4 linked regions of the Canis lupus familiaris genome follow. The protein of the gene in region 4 purifies or fractionates together with the protein of the main gene of each other region. This does not show direct contact. Links are inferred from orthologs where the notes say so. Each region holds a gene or a part of one and is shown on either strand. Other genes may lie near its edges.

What was found. Proteins that work in one complex are often made in the same cells at the same time.
Region 1: the proteins of POLR2G (region 4) and RPRD2 purify together in Homo sapiens (affinity purification with mass spectrometry; 3 studies listed by BioGRID and IntAct, counting the BioPlex papers as one, with this or other methods). This does not show direct contact. The link is inferred for Canis lupus familiaris from reciprocal best matches to the Homo sapiens genes POLR2G and RPRD2.
Region 2: the proteins of POLR2G (region 4) and MED1 purify together in Homo sapiens (affinity purification with mass spectrometry; 3 studies listed by BioGRID and IntAct, with this or other methods). This does not show direct contact. The link is inferred for Canis lupus familiaris from reciprocal best matches to the Homo sapiens genes POLR2G and MED1.
Region 3: the proteins of POLR2G (region 4) and GPN3 purify together in Homo sapiens (affinity purification with mass spectrometry; 3 studies listed by BioGRID and IntAct, counting the BioPlex papers as one, with this or other methods). This does not show direct contact. The link is inferred for Canis lupus familiaris from reciprocal best matches to the Homo sapiens genes POLR2G and GPN3.

The regions. Positions count from the first base shown.
Region 1 is NC_049238.1:60,242,662-60,248,617, forward strand, and holds the start of RPRD2 (regulation of nuclear pre-mRNA domain-containing protein 2), read left to right. Parts: upstream 1-1,888; coding exon 1,889-2,093; intron 2,094-5,956.
Region 2 is NC_049230.1:22,939,585-22,945,537, forward strand, and holds the start of MED1 (mediator of RNA polymerase II transcription subunit 1), read left to right. Parts: upstream 1-1,885; 5' UTR 1,886-2,100; coding exon 2,101-2,125; intron 2,126-4,187; coding exon 4,188-4,294; intron 4,295-5,953. UniProt on the Homo sapiens protein: Component of the Mediator complex, a coactivator involved in the regulated transcription of nearly all RNA polymerase II-dependent genes.
Region 3 is NC_049247.1:8,518,906-8,525,020, reverse strand, and holds the start of GPN3 (GPN-loop GTPase 3), read left to right. Parts: upstream 1-2,047; 5' UTR 2,048-2,607; coding exon 2,608-2,655; intron 2,656-2,924; exon of another isoform or gene 2,925-3,061; intron 3,062-3,681; coding exon 3,682-3,790; intron 3,791-6,115. Other genes in the region: protein FAM216A, read right to left, coding at 76-116, 1,751-1,842. UniProt on the Homo sapiens protein: Small GTPase required for proper localization of RNA polymerase II (RNAPII). May act at an RNAP assembly step prior to nuclear import.
Region 4 is NC_049239.1:54,435,687-54,441,489, forward strand, and holds POLR2G (DNA-directed RNA polymerase II subunit RPB7), read right to left. Parts: upstream 3,685-5,803; 5' UTR 3,483-3,684; coding exon 3,471-3,482; intron 3,352-3,470; coding exon 3,242-3,351; intron 2,287-3,241; coding exon 2,127-2,286; intron 1,394-2,126; coding exon 1,343-1,393; intron 1,248-1,342; coding exon 1,182-1,247; intron 1,086-1,181; coding exon 1,014-1,085; intron 817-1,013; coding exon 783-816; intron 568-782; coding exon 554-567; 3' UTR 347-553; downstream 1-346. UniProt on the Homo sapiens protein: Core component of RNA polymerase II (Pol II), a DNA-dependent RNA polymerase which synthesizes mRNA precursors and many functional non-coding RNAs using the four ribonucleoside triphosphates as substrates.

The DNA.
Region 1 (5,956 bases), on a different chromosome or scaffold from region 4:
CTTCCTCAAATATGTCAAGATATAGTTTTAAGTCCTTTGCCCTTGGCTGTTCCTTCTGCCAGCTGCTGTTCCTTCTTCTCTCCCTTCCCCATACCTGGTTGGTTATCTTATTCTCAGCGTTCAGATATTGTCATTTCCTTCCAGAAGCCTTGCTGGATCACCAAACCATTTCCCTTCCCATATAGGCTCACACACACAATATCCTCTCTCTTCCTTACACTGCTTCAGAATTCTTCATAGAACTTGTTACTTCCTGATACATATTTGCTTATGGCCTCCTGCAACTAAGCACCACAGGGAGATTTTTGTTTTGCTGTTATACTTACCAATGTCTAGAACTGTACTTGACACAAAACATTCAAGAACTTTTATCTGAATGAATGAATGAATGAATGAATGAATGAATACTAGAGATGAGCTTCACAAAACATGTTCCTTGCCTCAAGAAGCGATGAATCCATCGGGGAGAGGTAAAAGACTTAAATAATTGCATGTGCTCAGTGGAACACATGAGCCTCCAAATCTGTCCAGAGGATTTACATAGGCAGATACGATGGAATTGTTCATCCAGGTTGTGCCTATCAATAGAATAGCCAGGACTCTTGTAAACTATAATGTATTATGCCATAGTGACCGGCGAAGGTGAGATCACATCTTGCTTTTTATTCTTTCCTCGTCTCGAAAATTTTGCTAGGAAATTTTTCGCTTCACTTACTTCCTCTTACCACATCTAAAGAACCTACTGGCTATGAATGGTATCGTCCAAGGGGAGTGTAAAATATTGTTTGGTCTGGGAGTCTGCGTAGTGAACGGCTCACTGGAGCTGGCGCATGCGCACCTTTTGAGACACTGCAAGATGGCTGCCAGCCACTTTGTCGCGCGTCGGTGCCCCAAGGAGTTAGCGGCGGCGGCGGCAGCTACCAGAAAGTAACAGTAACCTCTGAGCGGTGGGAATTTCCCGGCCTGTTGTGGGAGCTGGACAGCCCCAAGAGGGGGACCTCGCTAGGAAGTTAAGGGCAGGACAGAGCGGTGAAGCCCCTCCCCCAACCTCTCCTAAGTTTGACCAATTCCCTCACCCTTCCTCCGGTTTTTCCTCCTAGCCCGCTACACGCCGGTCTGCTGCGCAGGCGCACAAATAATCGTAGCGCCTCCTTGGTCCTTGGGACTTGCAGCCTTCTGCGCGCGCTTCTCGTTCTTGTCCTTTGATTGGCCAGGCCGCCCCGCCATCACGCCTCCTCCGCTTTCTAGGTTGTGAAGGAAGCGGGGAGGCGGGGCGAAGCAGCGCGTGCGCGATACTGTTGCTGTCCCTTTGCTGCTATTGCGTTGCAAAAAAAAAAATCCTGACTAGGTAGCCTTGGGCCTTTTCTGTGCTAGAGGACCTAAAGGAGAAAGATTCTGCAACTGAAGGGGCAATCGGATAGTATTAAATTTAAGGTATTAACGCCTACCCTTACAGGAGTGTGGCGATAGGAGTGGGGACGAGCCTTAGCTTTGAGAGCTGAAGAGTGTAAAACCATTAGTTTCGGGGCCAGGCGTTTTGAAAGGCTTTGCAGGATCTGTTTTCTGCGCAATTCTTCCGTGACTATTGACTGGTTTAAACACAACCCCTTGAACAATTCTGATAAACCTTCGATGCCCGCAGCCCCTCCTTACAGCGTGTAGGAGTCACCAGCGTGCCCAGCAGCTGGTCCTCCCCACCTACCTCCAGAAGAGCCTAGCGCGTGTACCCTCCCCACCCCCTGACCTCCCTCCCCACCTGCGGCTTTCACGCACTCGCAGTGATTGTTTTGCCCGCTCCGGCTCCCGCTCCCGCCGCCGCCGCCGCCCCGCCGCCGCCGCCGCCGCCGCCGCCGCCAGAGGAGCAGCAGCGCTTGTGCAAACCGGGAAGATGGCGGCCGGCGGCGGCGGAGGCAGCAGTAAGGCCTCCTCCTCGTCGGCCTCTTCGGCAGGGGCTCTGGAGTCCTCGTTGGATCGAAAATTCCAGTCGGTAACTAACACCATGGAATCTATTCAAGGCTTGTCGTCCTGGTGTATAGAGAACAAGAAACACCACACTACTATCGTCTACCATTGGATGAAGTGGCTCCGGAGATGTGAGTGTCGGGGGTGACTAGGGAAGGGGAGACTGGGGAAATGGGAGGAAATCCTTCCCGAAACGCCTGGGGTTTTCCCTCGGAGCCACTGCATTCGGTTGGCCTTGTTCACATTAAAGCTTTGACGCGAGTGTTCCCAAACCCAGACTCCATTCCTAGGTAGGGTTGTCCTGAGCTGCAGGAGGCTCATCGTTTCTTGAATTTTTTTTTTATCAGCTACTTAACTGACTTGGTGTGTGTGACCTTGGGCCGTTGGGCCCAGATCTTTAGAAATTTAGGTATTATTTCATTTCAGAGCCTTTTAAGGTGCTGTTCTCTTTAGTGAACCTTCGCGGAAATTATCGCGTCCGTTTATTTCACAGAGGCCTTGACGTGCTAATTTCTGGTTTTCTTGATGATGGACAAGCTATGGTTCAAGCAATAGCAGAGCCACTCACTTGGTTGGAATATTTTGGACCGCTCTGTTTTACGCTGACCTAAAACTCGTGGTGTTATAGGAAGGGCCTTACTTGGATGAATGTTACGAAGTAACAGGAGCTCTACTTAGAACTGAGCCGACCACCTGGGAGGTTTCCTTGTACCTGAGTTTGCTGCAATCAAATAAATACGGGCTTCTTGATACTGGCCAGAAATAACTGTAGTCGGTATCATCATTAGTACCTTAGAATGAAAACATGTCCAGCTACTTTTCAGTCACTTGAAATACCTTTTTAAAGAAATGGGTTTGCCTTCAGAGGTAAAACAGGAAATCAGGAAATGGGCTTTTTGACTGTATAGTACTCCCCCCCCCCCCAAGTTACTGCTTTTTTGTATCCATCAGAGATTTTTTTCCACTTTGCTTCTTTACTACAGAAAGGAGGTATAGTAAACTGTCAGGAAGCAGGGATTGTTTCCAAAACATTTCAAATCTCTTTGCAGTAAGTGTTGGAAAAATCATTGTTGTTTCCTGCTGAGAAGAGGGGTTAACCCTAAATCCATATATATCTATTTGACTTTAAGGTCTTTTGTTGCTTCTTGCCTATGGCATGTTACCAGTGAGACCCATCATCCAGTTACTCTTCTTATTCCACTTCTACCATTGTCTTTGTAATGTTTTGATTTGTGTGTCTTGGGGAACAGATGGATAAAACTTACAAAATCATAGGCCCCAATCTTCAAACTATTTGTGTATATAAAGTTATTATTGGTGGAGATGTTTTGTGCCACTTTGAATATATGCTGAAAAGATTGTAGGACCAAGACAAGATTACCTATATTTACTTTCCAAGAAGCAAAATTAGAACATACAATATAGGCAGCCTGGGTGGCTCAGCCGTTGAGCCCCTCCCATCAGCCCAGAGCGTGATTCTGGAGTCCCGGGATCTAGTCCCGCATCGGGCTCCCTGCGAGGAGCCTACTTCTCCTTTTTTTAAAAAAAGGAAAAGAACATACAATATAAAATACGGTAACAGTCATTAAAGGCTCACATATTAAGTATCTGTTATGTGTATTGCCATTTACAATATATCTATTTCATTATATTTTAAAATAACTCTAAGAGGTAGATTTTTAAATTTTTTATCTTTCTTTAAAGATTTTATTTTATTATTATTATATTATTTTATTATTTTATTTTATTATTATTTTTTAAAGATTTTATTTATTTATTCATGAGAGAGAGAGGCAGAGACACATGCAGAGGGGGAAACAAGCTCCATGCAGGTAGCCCGATGTGGGATTCGATCCCAGGACTCCAGGATCATGCCCTGGGCTGAAGGCAGGCGCTAAACCGCTGCGCCACCCAGGGATCCCTAAAGATTTTATTGATTTGAGTGAGAGCACTAGTGGAAGAGGTATGGGGGGGGCAAGAGAGAGAATTTCAAGCAGACTCTCCTCCCCTCCCCCCCATGGGGCTCCATCCCAGGATACTGGGATCCTGACCTGAGCTGAAGGCAGCCACTTAACCATCTGAGCAACCCAGGCACCAGAGGTAGATTTTTAATTTTTATTTTTTTAAATTATTTTTTAAGATTTTATTTCTTTATTCATGAGAGACATAGAGAGAGGCAGAGAGATAGGCAGAGGGAGAAGCAGGCTCCCTATGGGGAGGGGAGCCTGATGCGGGACTCAATCCCAGGACACTGGGATCAGGACCTGAGCCCAAGGTAGATGTTCAACGACTGAGCCACCCAGGCGCCCCCAGAGGTAGATTTTTTAAATCATTGATTTACAGGTGAGGAAACTAAGGCCCAGAAATGTTAGGTAAATTGTTTAAGGTTACACAGAAAAAGGGTGAAGTTAGGATTTGACTCCACCATATCAGATGACAGTGACCACATTTAACTTTGTAATCATGGTTTCAAGATTAAAAAAAAAGAAAAGATTGTTCTTTAATGTGCTTGACACACTAGTGGTAGCAAATGCTCCTGTGAGTCTGAGAACATGCTCTCTCTCTCTCTCTCTCTCTTTTTTTTAAAACATTAGTACTAAATTATACAAACATTTAATGTTTCCTACCTTTGAGTTCTGGTGCTTTAACTGTATGGTTACATCATTTGCAAGACTGAGTTGGTCCCTGTACCTGTCTTGTGGGATTTCATATGACAATTAGAGTTTTTTTCTAGTTAGCAGTAAGAGATGAGCCAGAAGTTTTCTGCCTCTACTATTGTTGATATCTTGCCTGAGCTTATTTCCCTTGTATTGATATCTTGAGTGAAAAAGTGATTGCTGTAGTTAGATAATACTTCATTTTGAAGTGCATTATATATAATTTGTATAGGTAAATGCATTAGGCTTTCTAAAAACTTGATTCTTTTTTTTCCTTAGTGGAATAGAACTTCCTAAACTGTTAAGAGTTATTTGTAGTCATTTTGTCTTTACATTTAATGAACATCTATCTCAGGGTAAATAAAGCCTTTTGAGATAAAATTTCAGGAGAGTGATGAAGGGCACAGTGAAAATAGTTTATGCATTAAGCCTCATTTAGTTTCATATTTCTTTACAGTTGGGATTATTTTAGTTTGAGTTTGGTTTCTAAGTCAGCTTTAGGCAAGTTTGTGAAGGAGGTCTCTCTTATGGTCCCAGACTTTGTCGTTTTCCTAATGTCACTTTGCCTCTCTTTTTTGTTCTGGCATCCATTACTTAGGAATTGTGTTTATTTTTTATTTGTTTAAAGATTTTATTTATTTATTTATTCATAGAGACACAGAGAGAGAGAGAGAGAGAGAGAAAGAGGCAGAGACACAGGCAGAGGGAGAAGCAGGCTCCATGCAGGGAGCCTGATGTGGGACTTGATCCCAGGACTCCAGGATCTTCCTGGGCTGAAGGGAGGCGCTCAACCGCTGAGCCACCTAGGTGTCCCAAGATCTAAACTTCTTTTACTGTGGTTTACAAGTTCCCACACCACCTGCCCTGCCTACTACCTCTCAGACTTCTTCCAGTTCTGTTTTTGCATCATTTAGATGCAAGCTTGTGTATTACCTTCAGAAAGGCCCTTCTCTTATTTAACCTTATTCCAGGTGGTCCCTGCACTTGGTTTCCGTCACTTCACATTATTTTCAGTATATGAAATTACTTGTTTATTTGTTTATATTTTTTTTGTTTATCTTTTCCCCACCAGATTACAGAGCTAGGTCTTCTTTGCTGCTATATCCTCAAGCAACTAGAACAATGTTTAACACAATGTAAGCAGTCAATAAATACTTGTCAGCATAATTTTGTGTATTAATCAAGAACTTGCATTGTTTTAATTTCTGTTTATCAGAAAGAAATGTTTGTAATTCAGTGAAAGAAATGTTAATTATGGTTGTCAGGTTCAAGATATGGTTCTTTTTGTTTTGTTTTTGTTTATTTGTTTTCTAGATATGGCTGTTTTTGGACTTGAT
Region 2 (5,953 bases), on a different chromosome or scaffold from region 4:
CTCTCTCTCTCTCTCTGTGTGTGTGTGACTATTATAAATAAATAATAAAAAAAATTTTAAAAAAATTGACATCTGAATAAGAAGGCCTTAGTGAGGTGAAGGAGTCAGGTAGAGGAAGGACTCTCCCAGCAGTTAAAAAAGGCCTGTTCAAGGAACTTGGGAGGAGAATGCAGCAATTTTCTGCATGAGAAAGAAGGCTAGTATGGCTGGGAATTGGCAACGGGAGAGGTGGGTCTAGGAAGGGTTTTTTTTTTTTTTTCCCTAGGAAGGTTTTGTAGACCCAGTAAAACATTTGTCTACTGGGCTCCAGTACAGTAGTAGGTAAGCGGTGGAAATTCAGAAATGAAGGCAAAATCCTGCCCCCAAGAAACTCCCTATGTAGTGACTAAAGGAATGAGGGTAAAGAGGAAAAGATAAAGAATAAAATTTGAATTCTACTTCAGAGAGCATAGTTATAGATATCTTTGTGGTAGTAAATGTGTTCCCAGACGCTTCCAAAGATTTGTTCTTGGGATCCCTGGGTGGCGCAGCGGTTTGGCGCCTGCCTTTGGCCCAGGGCACGACCCTGGAGACCCAGGATCGAATCCCACGTCGGGCTCCCGCTGGATGGAGCCTGCTTCTCCCTCTGCCTGTGTCTCTGCCTCTCTCTCTCTGTGTGACTATCATAAAAACAAACAAACAAACAAAAAAAAACACAAAGATTTGTTCTTATTAAATTTACACTGCTGTGCCTGCTCACCTGAACTGCAGTTGTCTGCTGGAATGGCTTTGGAGGATGTTTGAATAGCATTTTTGAAATATGGAGAAATTCTGAGACTGAAAAGCCAGTAGAAATCCACTACTTAGTATCCTTACAGTGAACTAGGTAAAATCCAACTTTACAGCGGCTATTTTCAAAGATTTGTTTGGAAAAAGAACATTAAAAACAAAACAAAACAAAACCAAGCCTTAACTACGTCGAGAACTTCCACCAAATGCTAGTTTTGTATTTTAGCCTGGTCCTTCAGTTCCGGTGGCCATAAACTTCTCATCATTACTCCAAATTTCTCCACGTGAGGAGACAGGACTGCGCATTCTTTGTATTGTGGAGTACAAGCTAAACTGCTTGTTTTACTATGATTACCAGATAGGAACACTAGTAGTCATACACCTTAGTATATAATTAAAAGCATCCGATGCTCTGACTGCTACAAGTTTACCTTAATTTAAAACCTCCCAGATCTTAAAAAACAAAAAACAAAAAACCCCAAAACCAAAAAACCGTTATTGCGTGAGAAATATTTCTGAAATTTGAGGAAAAAATTGGGAAATGGGAATTAAGTGAATTGGGCTGGCTTGGAACGCTGTGTTACAAAGACCCAATACCATTTTCATGTTTCCACCTAGTATCTCAATAAAGCGTATTATCTTTTATTTTATATTATTTTATTTATTCACGAGAGACAGAGAGAGAGAGAGAGAGAGACAGAGACAGAGACACAGGCAGAGGGAGAAGTCGGCTCCATGCAGGGAGCCCGACATGGGACTCGATCCCAGGTCTCCAGGATCATGCCCCAGGCTGAAGACGGCGCTAAACCGCTGAGCCACCCGGGCTGCCCAGCGTATTATCTTCAACAAAATATTTCTGGTACCTATATTCTTTGAAATGCTAGTCAGTAAAGAGATCCCAGGATTTTAATTTACGAACTCCTTTGCCACTTGGAAGCGAGGTTGAGCGCCAGCAGACGGCAAACACGGTACTCGAGAGCAGTAAGTAAACCTTCAGGTGACCGAAAGCTAAGGGAAGGCGTGATTAGAAGAATCTCGCGAGAAGCACTGCATTCACTATTTTTCGCGATATTTTGGTGCCCAGCCTTTTTCCTATCTCTCGCAGGATCACGGTTAATCTCGCGATATTTGGGAAGTTCCGTTGGGAAGATGGCGGCGGCCGGGAGCGCCCTTCTCTTCTTGCCGCCGGGGACTTCAGACTGAGCCTTCCCGGGAAGAGTGGGGACGGTTGTTCCCCTGCCTCCCGGGAGCCCGAACCAACTTGGTTCCCTCGTTAGTGGTGGGGAAGGGTTTATCCTCTTGTGTAGGACTCAGGACCTCCCCACCGTCAGGATGAAGGCTCAGGGGGAAACCGAGGGTGAGTGACTTGAGGGGGAATGCAGGGGGCGGGACGCAGCTTGGGGGAGCCAATCTGTGAGAGGAGCTGGGGTGGGGGTGGCCCGATGCCTCTGCAGGGGCAACGCTCCTGAGGTCGTGGAGTCCAGGAGGCGGGATAGCTTCTGACTGTGCCTTCGTTGGTGATGCAAGGATCTGAGTCTCGGGTGATGGGGGCTCTCAACTTCTATGAAGGTTTCCTGCATAGCTAGGGACAATCACTTGGGCCTCGGAACGTTTTTAGCCTAAAGTTGATGGAAGACCAGGCGAGTGAATCTAAAACCTGCTTACACCTCGTTTCAGAAGAGATATCTGAATAATGACATTAAAAAAATACAGAGCTGTGTGTCAAATATCGGAGAATGTTTTGGCGTGAATGAAATGATTAGGACCTTATGATTTTAAAAGCTAGTAGTTCCATGGAACGTTACAATGTCCAGACTTACACTATTGTATGTTTATGAAATGCGTTGAATTTCATCCTTTCAATGGCTGGACTAACTCACAACTGCTGAAAAACAACTTTTCTGTGGAACCTTACTTAGATTCTCTAAAGTCCTACACTCTTAAATGCTTCCTTAGCATTTTGGATATAGTTTTGTTAATAAGGATCACTGTATTATGTTTACCCATCTTCTCCACTTTGAGCACCTTGTCTTACGCATCGTTGTGTAGTACCTGGCACAAAAAGTGTTTGATCATTCGTGTAAAGTATTTATCATCAGGCTTCTCAAGGAAAAGGGAGGGGAGTATTTTAAAGGAGAGGAAGAAAAAAGGTATACTCCTTGGGTGCAGAGGATTGGTGAATGTAAAATGGAAACTTGATGAGGCAGGAATTTTGTCTAGTTTGCTCATTTCTATATCCCCAGCACATAAAATCATGTGTGAATGAGTCTTGAAAGTGGGAATTGCCAACAATGTGTCCAGAACTGTAAGCTGGCTGAAACAGTCCCCAAACCGGTTTTCCAGAAGATGAGGACATTGGAGGAAGGAATTTGAATCTTGATTTAGAAAATGTCACTGCGTTAACTCTGATTGCTGAGATTATTTATCTTTCAATGCCAATATCAACTGTCACCTTTTCTGTAATCTCCCCACAACTAATAATGAGATTTTCCTTTTTTGTGTTTCAATTGTAATGTGTCTGTTTTTAACAGCATATCTCATTTTGCTTTCTGTGATGGTTATTTCCACGTTAACTTACGCACACCCCTTCACAGATACCATCTCAGGTGTATTGAGTTTTTGCATTGCCAGTGGTCTCTAGAACAGGTCCTAAGAAGTGTAAGAATTAGAGGAAGGATCACCTATATTTCAAAAGTAAAAAATTTAATAGAAATAAAGCTATAGTTCAGTAGTAAAATAACAAAAATTCAAAAATAAAAATTATAATTCAGTAATAAAAATTAGGAAGGCTGGAGAGCATAAGATCTTTGTTCACTCATAGCCCAGGAAACTGAGGACTTTTCCACCTTTCTCTTAGCTCTGCTAGAAGCTCATCCTTTAGTCATTGACATATTTCCTATCCATATAGTTTTAGTTTGAATTCAAACAGGAAAAATGAAAATGGCAAATACAGCCTATTTTCTTGATAATACTTCTGTATTGTTCTCTTAGAATTACATCAAAGTCTGCATTTCACATTGAAAACCAACTAACCAAAGTAAGGCCATGTTCAAATGTATGCTTTTCATATATCATGCAAGGGATTCATGCATATCATGAAATGATTTTGTCACTAACCCCAAAACAGTCTTGTAGTCTTGACCCCAAAACATGGTTAGAGGTGGTTCTTTTTTTGGTTTTCATTAAAAGACTGGATAGAAATCAGTTATGTTCTGTGGTGCTCATTAGTTTAGAACCCAATTTCTGTGTCATTTTGTTATTAAAAGTAAATAATTTGTATGTTTTGAAGTAAATGGTATTGAAAAATATTTCAACTGAGTTCTTACCAGGTTGAAGTGTGGGAGTTTCTTTTTGCAAGAAAGATTGTGGAAGGTCTGGAAAGGAAAGTTTCTAATAATGTTTTCTGATTTATATCGTAGAATCGGAGAAGCTGAGTAAGATGAGTTCTCTCTTGGAACGGCTCCATGCAAAATTTAACCAAAATAGACCTTGGAGTGAAACCATTAAGCTTGTGCGTCAAGTCATGGTGAGGATTAATGTAATGGATAAAGTGTTATGCTTAGATAATTATTTAATAAGCTAAGCTCCCTTTGTAAATTTTTTTCAAACTAGTTATTATAGGGTATCTCCTCAGCTTTTTTGAAAGAGAGAGAGGTGGGCAGGGAGTAGGTTGGGGGGTCGGTCAGAGGGAGAAGGAAAGAGAGACTCTTAAAGGACCCTGAGATCATGACCTGAGCCGAAATCAAGAGTCAGACCAACTGAGCCACCCAGGCACCTCAAGCCACTTGATTCTAACGAAATAGTATTTTCATTGTATATATACTTCTACTAGAGTTTGCAATTGATTTTTTTTTTTTAAGATTTTATTTATTTTTCATGAGAGAGAGAGAGAGAGAGAGAGGCAGAGACATAGACAGAAGGAGAAGCAGGCTCCATGCAGGGAGCCCGGGCCTCCAGGATCACGCCCTGGGCCGAAGGTAGGCGCCAAACTGCTGAGCCACCCTGGGATCCCACAATTGATTTTTTAAAATATTTATTTATTTTAGAGAGCTCAAGAGAGCATGAGTGCAGGGGGGAGGGGCAGAGGGAGAGGGAGAAGGACTCAAGCAGGCTCTGTGCTTGGGCTGAGATCACGGCCTGAGCCAAAACGAAGAGTTGGATGCTAAACTGACTGCCTCACACAGGCCTCCCTGGAGTTTGTGATTGATTCTTAATTAGCTTCACCTGTTCACTCTGTCTACCTTTTCCTCTATAGTACTGTTTTTTGAATCATTTGCCAGTATCAGGAGCCCTTAAGTGAAGACAGGGCATAGGAACTGGCTATTTAAAGTTCATCCATGATTCCAGTGGTAGTCAAATGATGCAGGAAAATTTAACTTCAATGATTTGACCTGGGCAGTGTTATATGGGTGTGTTCACTTTGTGATAATTCATAGATCTTTTCACTTAAGAGCCATATACCTTTTTTGTATATGTTATTTATATTTCAATGAAAGTTCCACTCCTCCCCACCAAATCTTACTTTGAGTACAGAGTAAGTTCGGTTTAGTAGATTTATTAGTGTTAAAACTGATCATATCTAAAAAAAATAAAAATAATAAAATGATCATATCTGTATAGCCCTAGTAAAAGAACTAAATTTGCTATCAAAAGACTTACTTTGGACAAATTATTGACTCTGAGTTTCCTCATCTGGAATGCAGAGGCACAGAGTATCAGTTTACTTTTCCACTAGTTTTGTTGTAAGAATCAAGTGAGATAATGCATATTAAATTGTGTGTTGCTAAAAGATTTCTGTAACTGCAAATTTGACAAATGTGTGAATGTCTTCTGGCTGAGGATTACATACATAGAATGTGGGGTTTTGTTTTGTATTGTTTTGTTTAATGTCTTAATAAAAGGCAATTTTTGCAGTTTGGGGATTCAGAGGTTTTCATTTTACGTTACAGAGTAGCCATATTCTAATTTGAAATTTGTTCTGTAAATGATATTGTCATTAAAGAGACATTGTGAGATAGAAAAATTCCAGGTGGCTACTAAGACCCTCTCATGGGGAACCGGAGTCTTGGTTTGGTTACCATAGCTTCCACTGTCTACTTCTCACTTTGCAGAATCAGAAACCTAATTTTATTAATATATTAAGACTTATAAGAATTTTCAACAACTGCAATAGTAACAAAATCTC
Region 3 (6,115 bases), on a different chromosome or scaffold from region 4:
TTGTAGTTACAGCAAAATTAGCATCTCTGAACCATATTATTTGTGGGTATTACCTGCTTTATATTCTCTACTTACCAATACCTTTGGAATTGTGATAATAAGAATGTCCAGCTGATCTGTTGAGGAAAAAAAGGACTTAAATAATATGCAATAATGGACAGCATTATAAGAATTAACAAAAGTATTTTAAATGAAAAAAGACAGTATTGCCTATGCTTTTTACTTTTCATGTTTCCATTAGATGGAGTATTTTGCAAATTTTCTCCTGTAATCCTGGTTATAGCCTAATGGCTCCAGGCTTTTTAAAAGTGAGTTATATGAGGTTTTTACCATACAAGAAGGGATTTACCTTAAGCCAGGTTTGGTTTTACTTTTATAGCCTCTTAATCTAATTCCTACATTGAGCTCAATAAAGTAGTTTGCGTCTCTGTGTTATCTGTGGTATTTTCTTGCTCACTTTATTTTTAATAAAGTAACCTGGATATGGAAAAGACTATCTTGTTCTTTACTGTATGTAACTAAGGTGTACTGGAACTGATAAATTGATCTGGAATGTTTTCATTTTTGACAAGTTCTTTTTTTCTTTTCTCAAATTAAGACAAAACACCCTTGCTTCCTGCTTCCTTAAATTTATTCAATGTCCAAGTGTCCATCGATACTAGGATCCAGCACTTTGTCAAGCACTGTAATGAACAGCAAAGACAAGAGTCTTTTAAGTCTTTGATGGGTGCCTGGGTGGCTCAGATGGTTAGTGGGTGATCCTTGATTTGGGCTCAGGTCCTGATCTCGGTGGTCCTGCTTGGGGCTCCACACTCAGACTTGAGGAGTCTGCTTGAGGATTCTCCCTCTCCCTTTGCCCCTCCCCTCTGCACGCACCCACTCTCTCTAAGACAAATAAATCATTTTTAAGAAGCCTTCAAACACTATATATATGTTTCATTCCCTATATATATTTCATATACATGATGTATATATGTATACATTTATGTATATACACATTCCATATGTATGAGTGTGTGGTGTGTGTGTGTGTGTGTGTGTATATACACACACACATATAAATAAATGGTCATGGGTGCAGCAGGAGCCATGACTGTGTGCTTTTGGAAAGGTACACCCTGAAGCTCTTTCAGGTAATAACTGATGGAAGGGATGAGAAGGTACTGAAGACTAATTGTCTTCAGCATCCAGGAACTATACTAAAAGAGCCTTCTCAAAATAAAATGGATTTATGAAGAAAAACTTCAGTGGGAAGAAAACATCAAGATCAACGTACCCGTAATATTCATAATTATCTGTCTCATCGTCATTATGAATCCCCTGGACATAAAAGTGGCCAACGTGACACCCACAGAACTGGTTTATTGACTTGGAAAGCCTCGTTCGAACCTGTTTCTGCCGTGCCCCCCAACCCCCTCTTTCTGTAGAGATCCTGTGGCCAGACGGCATTTTCCAGCAGGTTTCGCAGCGCCCCCTCGGGGCAGAAAGACGCACGCAGGCAACTGTCGCAGTCCCGGCGTTTAGTCATTGCACCAACGCTCGGCCTTACCTCACAGGCCCTTCCCGTAAACAGCGAGGCGGCTTCCATGTGTGCCACCCCGGCCACAACAGAGCTTCCCCCTTCCTCTCAGTTCAGCGCACTGGGGGGTCAGGCCACGGGAGCAGCCGGCTCCCACCCCCTCCTCCGCCGGGGACCACGACCTGGGCCGGTCGGCGTCCTCCCTCACCCCTCAGGGCCCCTCAGCCTCACCCGCCGCCGCCACCCTCGGTCCCGGCCACTGCGGTTGGGTCCGCGGAAGAGCCGCATGCCGTCCAGTCGGGCACCGGACACTGGCCGGGCATCTCCGCCCCGGCGCCCGGACCTCGAGCGGTGTGCGGAAGCAGCCTCCCCCTCTCCCCTCCCCCGGCAGCACGCGTGCGTCAGGCCGGGCGCTATTGGGGGTGCACCCGCGGACGCCGGATTCTAGCCCCCGCCGAGGCGCTCCGGGCACTGCCCGAACGGCTTCGGGAGAGCGGGGAGGGCAGAGACCAGACGCTGGAATTAGAGAGGGGAGGGGCAGGAACTCTCTAGAGGGTTGCGCGCTTGCACGTTTTGTGGAGGGGATGAGTCCTCTTCCACGGGAAGGAAACATACACGCCCTCTAAAACAGGAGGTGCCTTCCACCTCAGGATTCCCGGCCCTCTAACAGCTTTGCAAACGTTGGGTGTCGCCAGATAGGTGAGACGTTCGTACGCGAACCGAGGACCGAAGTCCGCGGCGCAGGGATGCGGAGTGCGAGCCGTTAGCCGTTATCTCCAAGGCAACCAAGCTTCTCCAGCGTCCCAACCGCCGATTTCCGCCACTACCTCCGCGCACACTCTAACCGCTGCCCGGTCCGCCCCGCCCACGCCGAAGTTTCCCGAGAACGGGTTTCACACGAGATTTGATCTGCGGGACGCTCCGTAGCCAGGGATGTAACAACGCAGGGCGCAAAAGGACTGTGGGTTGCTATTGGTGGTCACGTGGTGTTCCCGGAAGTCAGTGAGCGCCGCGCGAAGGCTGAAGGGAGCGGGCCGGTCGGGCTCCGTGAGGCGTGGCGGGCCCAGCCCGGCCCCAGGAGCGCCGGCATGCCTCGGTACGCGCAGCTGGTCATGGGCCCGGCAGGAAGCGGGAAGGTGAGGCTTTGGCGTTAGAACAGGAGAAAAGTCGGAGCTCGTGGGAGGCAGGGGGGCTGTGGTCCTGACGGAGGGACCGGCGGGTGCGTGCACGCGGACCCTTCGGCAGAGCGCTGCTGCAGTCTGGGCTTCGTCGCTCTTTGTTGCGATTTTGAAAGTGGGGAAAATAACAGTGGTGGCTAATGCTTAGAGTATACTTATGCCCCAGATACTGCGTTTAAACTCCTAACTTATTTCCAGAACAACGTTGTAGGATAGGTCTTGTTCTCATTTTTACGGATGGGAATTTTACAGAAAATGAGACACGGAAAGGTTAAGTTCTTTTCCCAAGATCACGCGGCTGGAATTTGAATCCAGTTGTGTGTAATCCCAGAATCCGCTCCTGTCTCGCTCATAGAAAGTTCAGGTGAGGTCTCATTAAGTCAGTTTCTCAGAGCTTGAAACATGGACTTCTGGTCTTTGAGGCGATTTTAGGAGGTACATGGCCTAACATTAGTGAACATTGGATCGTATATTGATTGAGCCCCATGTTGGGTGTAGAGAAAACCAGGGGTAAGGCTCCTGGCTGATTCATTTGGTGGAATGTGAGTCTTGATTGAGGTCAGTAAATTCTAGAGATCATAAATTGAGAAAATTACTCCCTTTTCAATTCTTTCAGTTTGCATTGAAGTGAAATTGTCAGTTTGACACCTGTGTATCTTTAATACTTTCTTTTTTTATGTTTGAGCCCCATGTTGGGTGTAGAGATTCCTTAAAAATAAAGTCTCTAGAAAAAAGAAGAGAAAAGTAGAGAAGCGCTTTCACTAAAGTTACTCTTGAGTCTCAGCCAGGTCTGGATCTACAGCCCAGTCAGATGTCCTGACTGCCAGCCTAGTACCTGTTTTCAGTCGGCTTTTTGATCAATGAAGGCATAATTTTGGCCTCAGTGGACACCGACCAAGGGATATAGGGTATCCATTTTGGGGGTGCAGGGGTAGCACTACACTGCCTATTGCTTTGACCCCATGATGCCTTGTGACATTACAGAGCACCTACTGTGCCACTATGGTCCAACACTGTGAAGCCCTCAATCGGTCTGTCCAAGTTGTGAACCTAGATCCTGCAGCAGAACACTTCAACTACTCCGTGATGGCTGGTGAGTCCTGAACAGAGCCTTCCCCCTCCTTCAGGAAAAATGAGGGGGTGGAGAGGCCATGAGTGCTGGCTGCTTGGTACAGAAGGTGAAAACTTAATTATTATAGTCTGCTCCCCTGCTTCATGATGAAATGTGTGACATTATCCTTTCTTCGTCTTAGTTTAAGAATTGAGTATCTTCCCTCATACCTCTTTTCTGTCCTTTTTTTCCCCACTTTTGTAAAATATTTTATTTATTCATTCATGAGAGGCAGAGACAAAGGTCCTCCATCCCAGGACCCTGGGATCACCCCCTGAGCCTAAGGCAGACGCTCAACCACCGAGCCACCCAGGCATCCCCCCTTCTGTCCTTCCATGCTTAGCCTGCTGTGGTGAATCGGGTTTACTGCAGGTCATAGTATTAGCGAGCAGCTTAACTGTTTGTTTGTTTTTAATTCTTTTAGAGGCGCCTCCTACCCTCTCTCTTGGGAAAAAAATTTAAAAAGAATTTTTTTAAATTTATGTTTCTTTAGAGGGAAAATCTTTTTTTTTTTTTAAGATTATATTTATTTATTCATGAGAATACACAGAGAGGAGAGAGAGAGAGAGAGAGAGAGGCAGAGACACAGGCAGAGGGAAAAGCAGGCTCCATGCAGGGAGCCTGACATGGGACTCGATCCCAGGTCTCCAGGATCATGCCCCGAGCTGTAGGCGACGCTAAACCGCTGAGCCACCAGGGCTGCCTGAGAGAGAGAATCTTAAGCAGGCTCCATGCCCTCCATGCCCAGTGTGGAGCCCAACATGGGGCTTGGTCTCAGAATGGTGAGGTCATACATAACCTGAGCCAAAATCAAGAGTTGGACACTTAACTGACTGAGCCACACAGGTGCCCCTAAAGTAAAATTCTTTCAATTTATTCATTCAGATGTCTTTTGAACACTTACTTTATGCCAGATGCCAAGGTTCTAGCAGAGAACAAGGCAGACATTATCCTTTCATTCATGGACCTTTTAGTGAGGAGATAAGCAAAATGATAAACATTAAAGATTGTGATAATGACTCCAAGTAGTCAATGAGAATGAATAACCTGGAGGTTGCTTTAGAAAGGGTAGTCACAGGAGGGAAGATTTGGGCCCAGACCCGAAGATAGTAATGGGCTTACCAAGCTGGGGAGTAGCCTTCCAAGATGAGGGAAATCAGGTCAATACATAGCCTAGAGATAGGAAGGGGTTTGGTATGTTCCAGAAAAAGCAAAAATATCAATGAGCTAGAGCATAATCAGTGAAGGAAAGTAGTGGGTAGGTGCTAGAAGGACATGAGAAGTTTGAGTTCTATTCTGTTTTCTTAGTCCATTTGAGCTGCCTTAACAAAATACCACAGACAGGGCAACTTGTAAACAACAGAAATATATTTTTTCATGGTTCTGGAGGTTGGAAATCCCAAGATCAGGGTGCCAGCATAGTCAGGTCTGGCGCGATCTCTTTTTTTATTTTATTTTATTTTATTTTATTTTATTTTATTTTATTTTATTTTATTTATTTTTATTTTTATTTTTATTTTATTTTATTTTTTAATTTTTTTTTTATTTTTTATTTTACTTTTAGGATTTTGCTTATTTGCTCATGAGAAACAGAGAGAGGCAGAGATGGCCAGAGGGAGAAGCAGGCTCCCTGAGGGGAGTCCGATGCGGGATTCAATCCCAGGACCTTGGGATCACGCCCTGAGCCAAAAGCAGACACTCAACCACTGAGCTACCCACTTGCTCCTGGGGCCTCTTATTAGAGCAATAATCTCATTCATGAGGAACCACCCTCGTGACCTAATTGGCTCCCAAAGGCACCACCTCCTAATATTATCACCTTGAGCATTAGCTTTTCAACATAGGAATTTTAAGGGGACACCAGCATTCAACATGTAGCATCTGTCAACAGTGGAATGTCATTAGGATTTAAAGCAGAGGAGAGGGTTGACATCTGATACACATTTTTAAAGATAACTGGCTCTCAGGTGAAAAATGGACACTAGGGAGTCAAGAATAGAAGCAGGGATGAGCAGGATGGCTATTGCAGATGTCTAAGTGGCTTGGACTAATGTAGTCATGGTAGAGATGTAAAGAAGCAGATTCAGTATATACTTTGCAAGTAGAATTAGCATTTTCTGGGAGAGTGAACCAGAACCATTTCGTAGGAAAGGGAGAGATCATCAAGGGTGACTCTTAGATACCTGACTTGAACTGCTTGAGTTACTGAAGAGAGTATATGATACCATCTATTGGAAAGGAAGACAAGTCTATTTAGGTTTGGGGCAATTCTCTTTGCACTTAGTAAGCTTGAGACATCTGATAGAT
Region 4 (5,803 bases):
TTACTATCCTCTTATTTCCCTCTCCCTCCTCACTATCTTGTCTTCCCTCATGCCCAGCTCTACCTTTGGCTACTAGTAAAGGCGAGGGCAGGGCGAATATTCTGAGACTAGATCAGGACTCAGAGTGGTTCTAATGACAATGCCATTTGCTAGAAGCCAAAGACCTAACATTAGGGCCTTCCCTTCACTGAAGTCAGTGGTAGCTCTCTGCAGAAGGGATAGTCAGATCCCCTGGGTAGCTGAGGCTACTTGAGGCAGCAGGCCACCAAAAGGGAGGCTAGCAAGCAACTGGCCTCCAGCCTTTTCAAAGAAAGAGTTGTTCTTACCAAAGAAAGGAGATGAAACCTCCATGAGAACAAGGACCTTTTATGGTTAGAATGTACAGTCAAAAACCTGGGGAGTGGCTAAGCATCAAGAAGAACGAGATATTTTCTGTGGACAAGGAACCTTCTCTGCCTCCCCACAGCAACCAGACTAGGCTTCTGGACGATATGCGGAGCATGACCGTCACAGCTCCTAGATGAGGACCAAACAGAGCAGGAGGCCCCGGTGCTCAGCTCACAAGCCCTGTAAGGACAGGAAAAGCACACCAGTTAGGCTCAGGCTCGGGGCAGCCATCACCATGCACTTCCCATCTCATGAGGCACAGGTCCCGATCTTCCAAGCAGACAGTCATAAGAGTTTCTTTCATCTGTGACTCGAGCATTAAGTCCCACATCCACCCCCTGCCTCCACACACCCCTTTCTAGGCAACAACCCTGGACACACGATCAGGCACTCACCCAAGTAATCGTCCATCAGAGAGCCAATAGCAAACTGCAGGAGGGAAGGCAGAAAGGAAACAGAGCCTAAGCAAGCATAGAACTAACTTCTAGCCCAGCCCCAGGCCTTCTGCTCACCCATCCCCTCTTCCTGGCAGAAGAAAACAAAACCCCCAGGAACCCTGCATGGTAAGAAAATCAACAGCTGCCAGCTCTGCCTGGTACAGGTAAGAAGGTAGGCAAGAGACTCACAATGTCATTCTTGTCCACACGGGTCCCCACAATCTTCAAGCGGATCTCATCATCCTGCTGAATCACAATGTCCTGAGGAAGAGTAAACAGGATACTCAGATACCTACAAGCCAAAATTTCTTGGAGGGCTCATTCTTCGTCCTTCTCATGGACTTCTTCCCCACTCACCTCATCCATTGTCTTATAACATGGTGGGTTGGAGTTGGGGTCAAACTCCATCTCTGATGGGATGGACTGAAAGGAAAGCAAGACAGAGCTTTACAGGAGTGCTTCCAGAGAGAGTCATGACTGGCTTCTCTCCTTAGCACCCCCAGCACGCCCAGACTTACATGTCGAGAAATGAAGCAGGACATTGGTCCAATTTCTGTGAAAAGTCCAACCTAAGAGGACAATGGGGGACTTTGTTTTTCTTTTTAAATTTTTATTTATTTGAGAGAGAGAGAGAGCAAACGTGTATAGACAGTGAAAGGGAGAAGTAGATTCCTGCTGAGCAGGGAGCTGGCTGCGGGGCTCCATCCCAGGATCATGACCTGAGCCGAAGGCGGCTGCTTAACCGACTGAGCCACCCAGGCAGGCACCTCGACTTTGCTTTTTCTTTTATCCTCAAATTCACCTAAGCTTCCCAACTTTATCTAATTCCTAATAATATTCTTCATATTTTGAATCCACTCTGAATTGTATCATTTGCTTTCATGTCTCTTCTGCTGAGATTTCATTTCAAGTTACGCAAATACAGTGCACTAAAGAGCCAAGGCCTGGCACTTGTCGGTCCACAATCTGACCACCTGTTGATCACATGACCTTGGCCATTAGACAACTTCTAACTTCTCCAGGCGTAAGCTTCTATAAAAATGGATAAAAGCATGACCTTAGTCACCGTTAGGTTTTGGACCTTACCCAACCCATAATAAGTATTCAATGAATGGAGACTACTATTGCTGACAACTCATACTGACTTACAGGACCCCAAGGGAGGTTTCTGCACCATTTGACAGGTGTAGAAACTGAAGCAAAAGTGACTTACCCAAGGACACAGAGTTAGCAAGAGCAGTTGGGACCCATCCCCCATCTTCTGAGCAGCCACCCAACTGCCTCCACTATGTATGGACTCACCTTGTTGACTTGAGTGACAACAGCATCCACGACCTCCCCTTTAAAGGGCCGGAAAACAATGGCCTTGTACTTAACTGGATAAAGGACAAACCCTCGGCCTGGCTGGATCACACCAGCACCAATATTGTCAATGGTGGTGACAGCAATTACAAAGCCATACCTGTAAGGAGGATGAAAAAAAGAAAGGCATCGTGTGTGCAAGAGCCTCTAAAATCATCTACAACAAAAAAAAAACAAAAAAATAAAAAATAAAAAAAAATAAAATCATCTACAACAAATCAGTGATGATGGGGGTCAGGGGACGGCACAAAGGGAAATAGATGGCACCCCTGCCCACAGAACTTCATGTTGGGAGAAGAATACAGATCAGTATCTATAACTTTTTTTTTAATTTTTATTTATTTATGATAGTCACACACACAGAGAGAGAGAGAGAGAGGCAGAGACACAGGCAGAGGGAGAAGCAGGCTCCATGCACCGGGAGCCCGACGTGGGATTCGATCCCGGGTCTCCAGGACCGCGCCCTGGGCCAAAGGCAGGCGCCAAACTGCTGCGCCACCCAGGGATCCCCGATCAGTATCTATAATGCCAAACACTGCTCTCATGTTTCACAATAAATGTCCAAGGAGACTGCAGTCCTTAAGCCAAGAGACTTCAATCTTGAGGATGCCTCAGAATCACCTAAGAGGAACTTCTTAAAACACAGATTCCCAGAGATCCCTGGGTGGCTCAGCGGTTTAGCGCCTGCCTTCGGCTCAGGGTGTGATCTCGGAATCCCGGGATCGAGTCTTACATCAGGCTCCCTGCATGGAGCCTGCTTCTCCCTCTGCCTGTGTCTCTGTCTCTGCCTCTCTCTCTATCATGAATAAATAAATAAAATCTTAAAAAAAAAAAAAAAAAGTCTGCGGAGTAAACGAATGACCAGTCTCTGCTGAAGTAAGTCTCGCGATCCAGAGGGCACCTCGGGAACCCAGGCCGGAAGCAAGTGACTGCCTCGGGTGCCTGAGAGGGTGAGAGGGTTCCCCGGGGCAGGGGGCAGGTGGCAGGTGCTTGCAGGATGAGTAGGAGTTGGGTAGAGGCTGCAGATCAGGCGGCGCGAAGCACTCGGGACTCACTTGCCGGTGCAGGTCCCCTCCACCTCGGTGAAGAGCTTCTGCTTGACCGTGTTGAGCAGGTTGGGGCCGAAATAGCGCGGGTGCAGCAGGATCTCGTGCTCCAGGGAGATCTGCGGGGAAAGCGGCATGGAGACCAAGCAAGGACGAGGAACAGCATCTCCTCGTCCCGGAGCCCCGCTTCGCTCCTCCTCTTAACCCTGCCCTCGCGGCCACCCCGTGCTCCGCGTACGTGATAGAACATCCTCCCAGCCGGGACCGGACAGCAGCCAAACCCAAACTGCCTCGGTGGTAGCCGCGGTTCTCACGCAACCGGAAACACGCACCGCCCCCGGAACCCTGCTTCCGGGCCTGTCCCCGCCAAGTGGGCGGGACTCCGCTCCCTTCGCGGACCCAATTGGTCATCGCTGTCGTGGGCGGGAAATCGGTGAGGCCCCGCCCTTCCGGCCCAGGTCCTCTGCGGCGCAAATGCTGGCTCTTCTAAATGAACAGTTTCCTGGCCTAGGAGGGATGCGCGATATACTGTTAAACGGAATTAATTAGCTAATAAAAGACAACGTGAATACAGTGCTTTAGCAGAACGCATTCGTGTGGCAAATATTTGAAGGCTGCCTTCACATAGTAAGCATCGTAAGGAGCTGTCTTTATCTCATTTCATGTACATAGCAACACCACTAGGCAAGCTTTACAAATGAGGGACCAGGCTCAGAGAGTTGAGGTCACTTGAGGGTCACGATTCAAATGTGCAGTGTCTGACCTCCAAGACCCTTGCGTATTTGGACATTCCAGATTTTCATGCAGTCATTTGTTCAATAAAATGGAGCACCCCACTCCTTGCTGCAGGTAGTTAGGAGATGAAGCAGCCAAAATCAGAGCCCAGGAGTCAGTCCTCCCTCCGGTGTGAGAAACCAAGTCACTGCACTCCTCTTTCCCGTTTCCCCCCAACCCGCTGACACACACGCATGGGGGGCTTAGAGAATTGATTGGTTTGTTCCCTCAACTCTGCCCACTTTTTTGTAGACAGTCGCTTTGCTAAACTCCCCTCAATTAACCGGAGTGATAATGCAATCTATTCCCTGTTGAGACTGACTGATAAAAGGGCCATGCAGAAAGAGGCAGAAACCATGAGACAGACCCATGAGTAAGGCTCAGCCAGGGCAGCTGGTTCTAGAGCCGGACAATCCTTTTTTCTTTTTTTTTTTAAGAGCCGGACAATCCTTAAGGCTTTGAGCAAACTCCCAGTTGCCTGAGTAAGGTTTTTATGGTGGTTTTTTTTTTTTTTTTATGTTGTAAATAAAAGATCCTGACCCACCCTACAGCAAGAACAGACACTTCACGTCTGCTTCCTCAGAACTGTCACATACCAGTTCGTATGGACACTGTCCATTTCCTGGAATAGTTGATCCCACCAGTCTGCCACTAAAACTCCATGGGGATCCCTTTTGAAGGATCAGGCAAGGAGATCCCTGGGTGGCTCAGCGGTTTGGCCCCTGCTGGGGGCGCCCAGGGCGAGTTCCTGGAGTCCCAGGATGGAGTCCCACATCGGGCTTCCTGCGTGGAGCCTGCTTCTCTCTCTCTGCCCCTCTCTCTCTCTGTGTCTTTCATGAATAAATAAATAAAATCTTAAAAAAAGAAAGATCAGGCAAGGAAGCAGATGAATGGGCCTCAGCAGTCCTGACTTTTCCTCTCTTCTTTCCCAGCCATCCTCCCCTTAAAGGCAATCTTAAGGACAGTGGTGTGCTAGAACCAGCTACAAGAGCCATCACCTCCTGGGGTGCATTGCTGGCTCAGTTGGTACAGCATATGACTCTTGATCTTGGGGTTGGGAGTTTGAGCCCCACATAGAGAGACTTCTTAAAAAAGTAAAATAAAATCTTAACTTCATCTCTTCCTAATTATTTTACCACAGTTTACTATTATCAATGCTCTTTACACCTATTGTGCCTCTGTGGTATGGTAAAATATAATTGCATATGCAGGTATAAGACTTCCGGTTACTCCGGTAGCCTCACCAGCACTCGGTACTTTTTTTTTAATATTTTATTTATTTATTCGAGAGAGAGAGAGAGAGAGAGGGAGGCAGAGACACAGGCAGAGGGAGAAGCAGGCTCCATGCACCGGGAGACCGATGTGGGATTCGATCCCGGGTCTCCAGGATCGCGCCCTGGGCCAAAGGCAGGCGCCAAACCGCTGCGCCACCCAGGGATCCCCCAGCACTTGGTATTGTTAGCAGGGTTTATTTACCTATTCTATCTACTGTGTAGTAGTATCTCATTGTAGTTTTAACTTTCACTTCCCTAATGACTAATAATATTGAACATCTTTTTGTATCTTTATTTGCCAAGAGTAATGTATTCAAAATTCAAGTTGAATCATGTCACTCCCCATCTTAGAACCTAATGGCTTCCCAGGGTACAAGAGGGCTTTGGCTGCCTCCATTTTGACCTCAAACTTTGTTGAGTTCTTCATTCCAGCTAGTCTCTGGGCTCCTGCAGAGACCCTGAGGGCAAACCATCTCTAGAGGGAAACCAAAACTACCCCTCAAGCAGAAAGGACAGTCCTGAG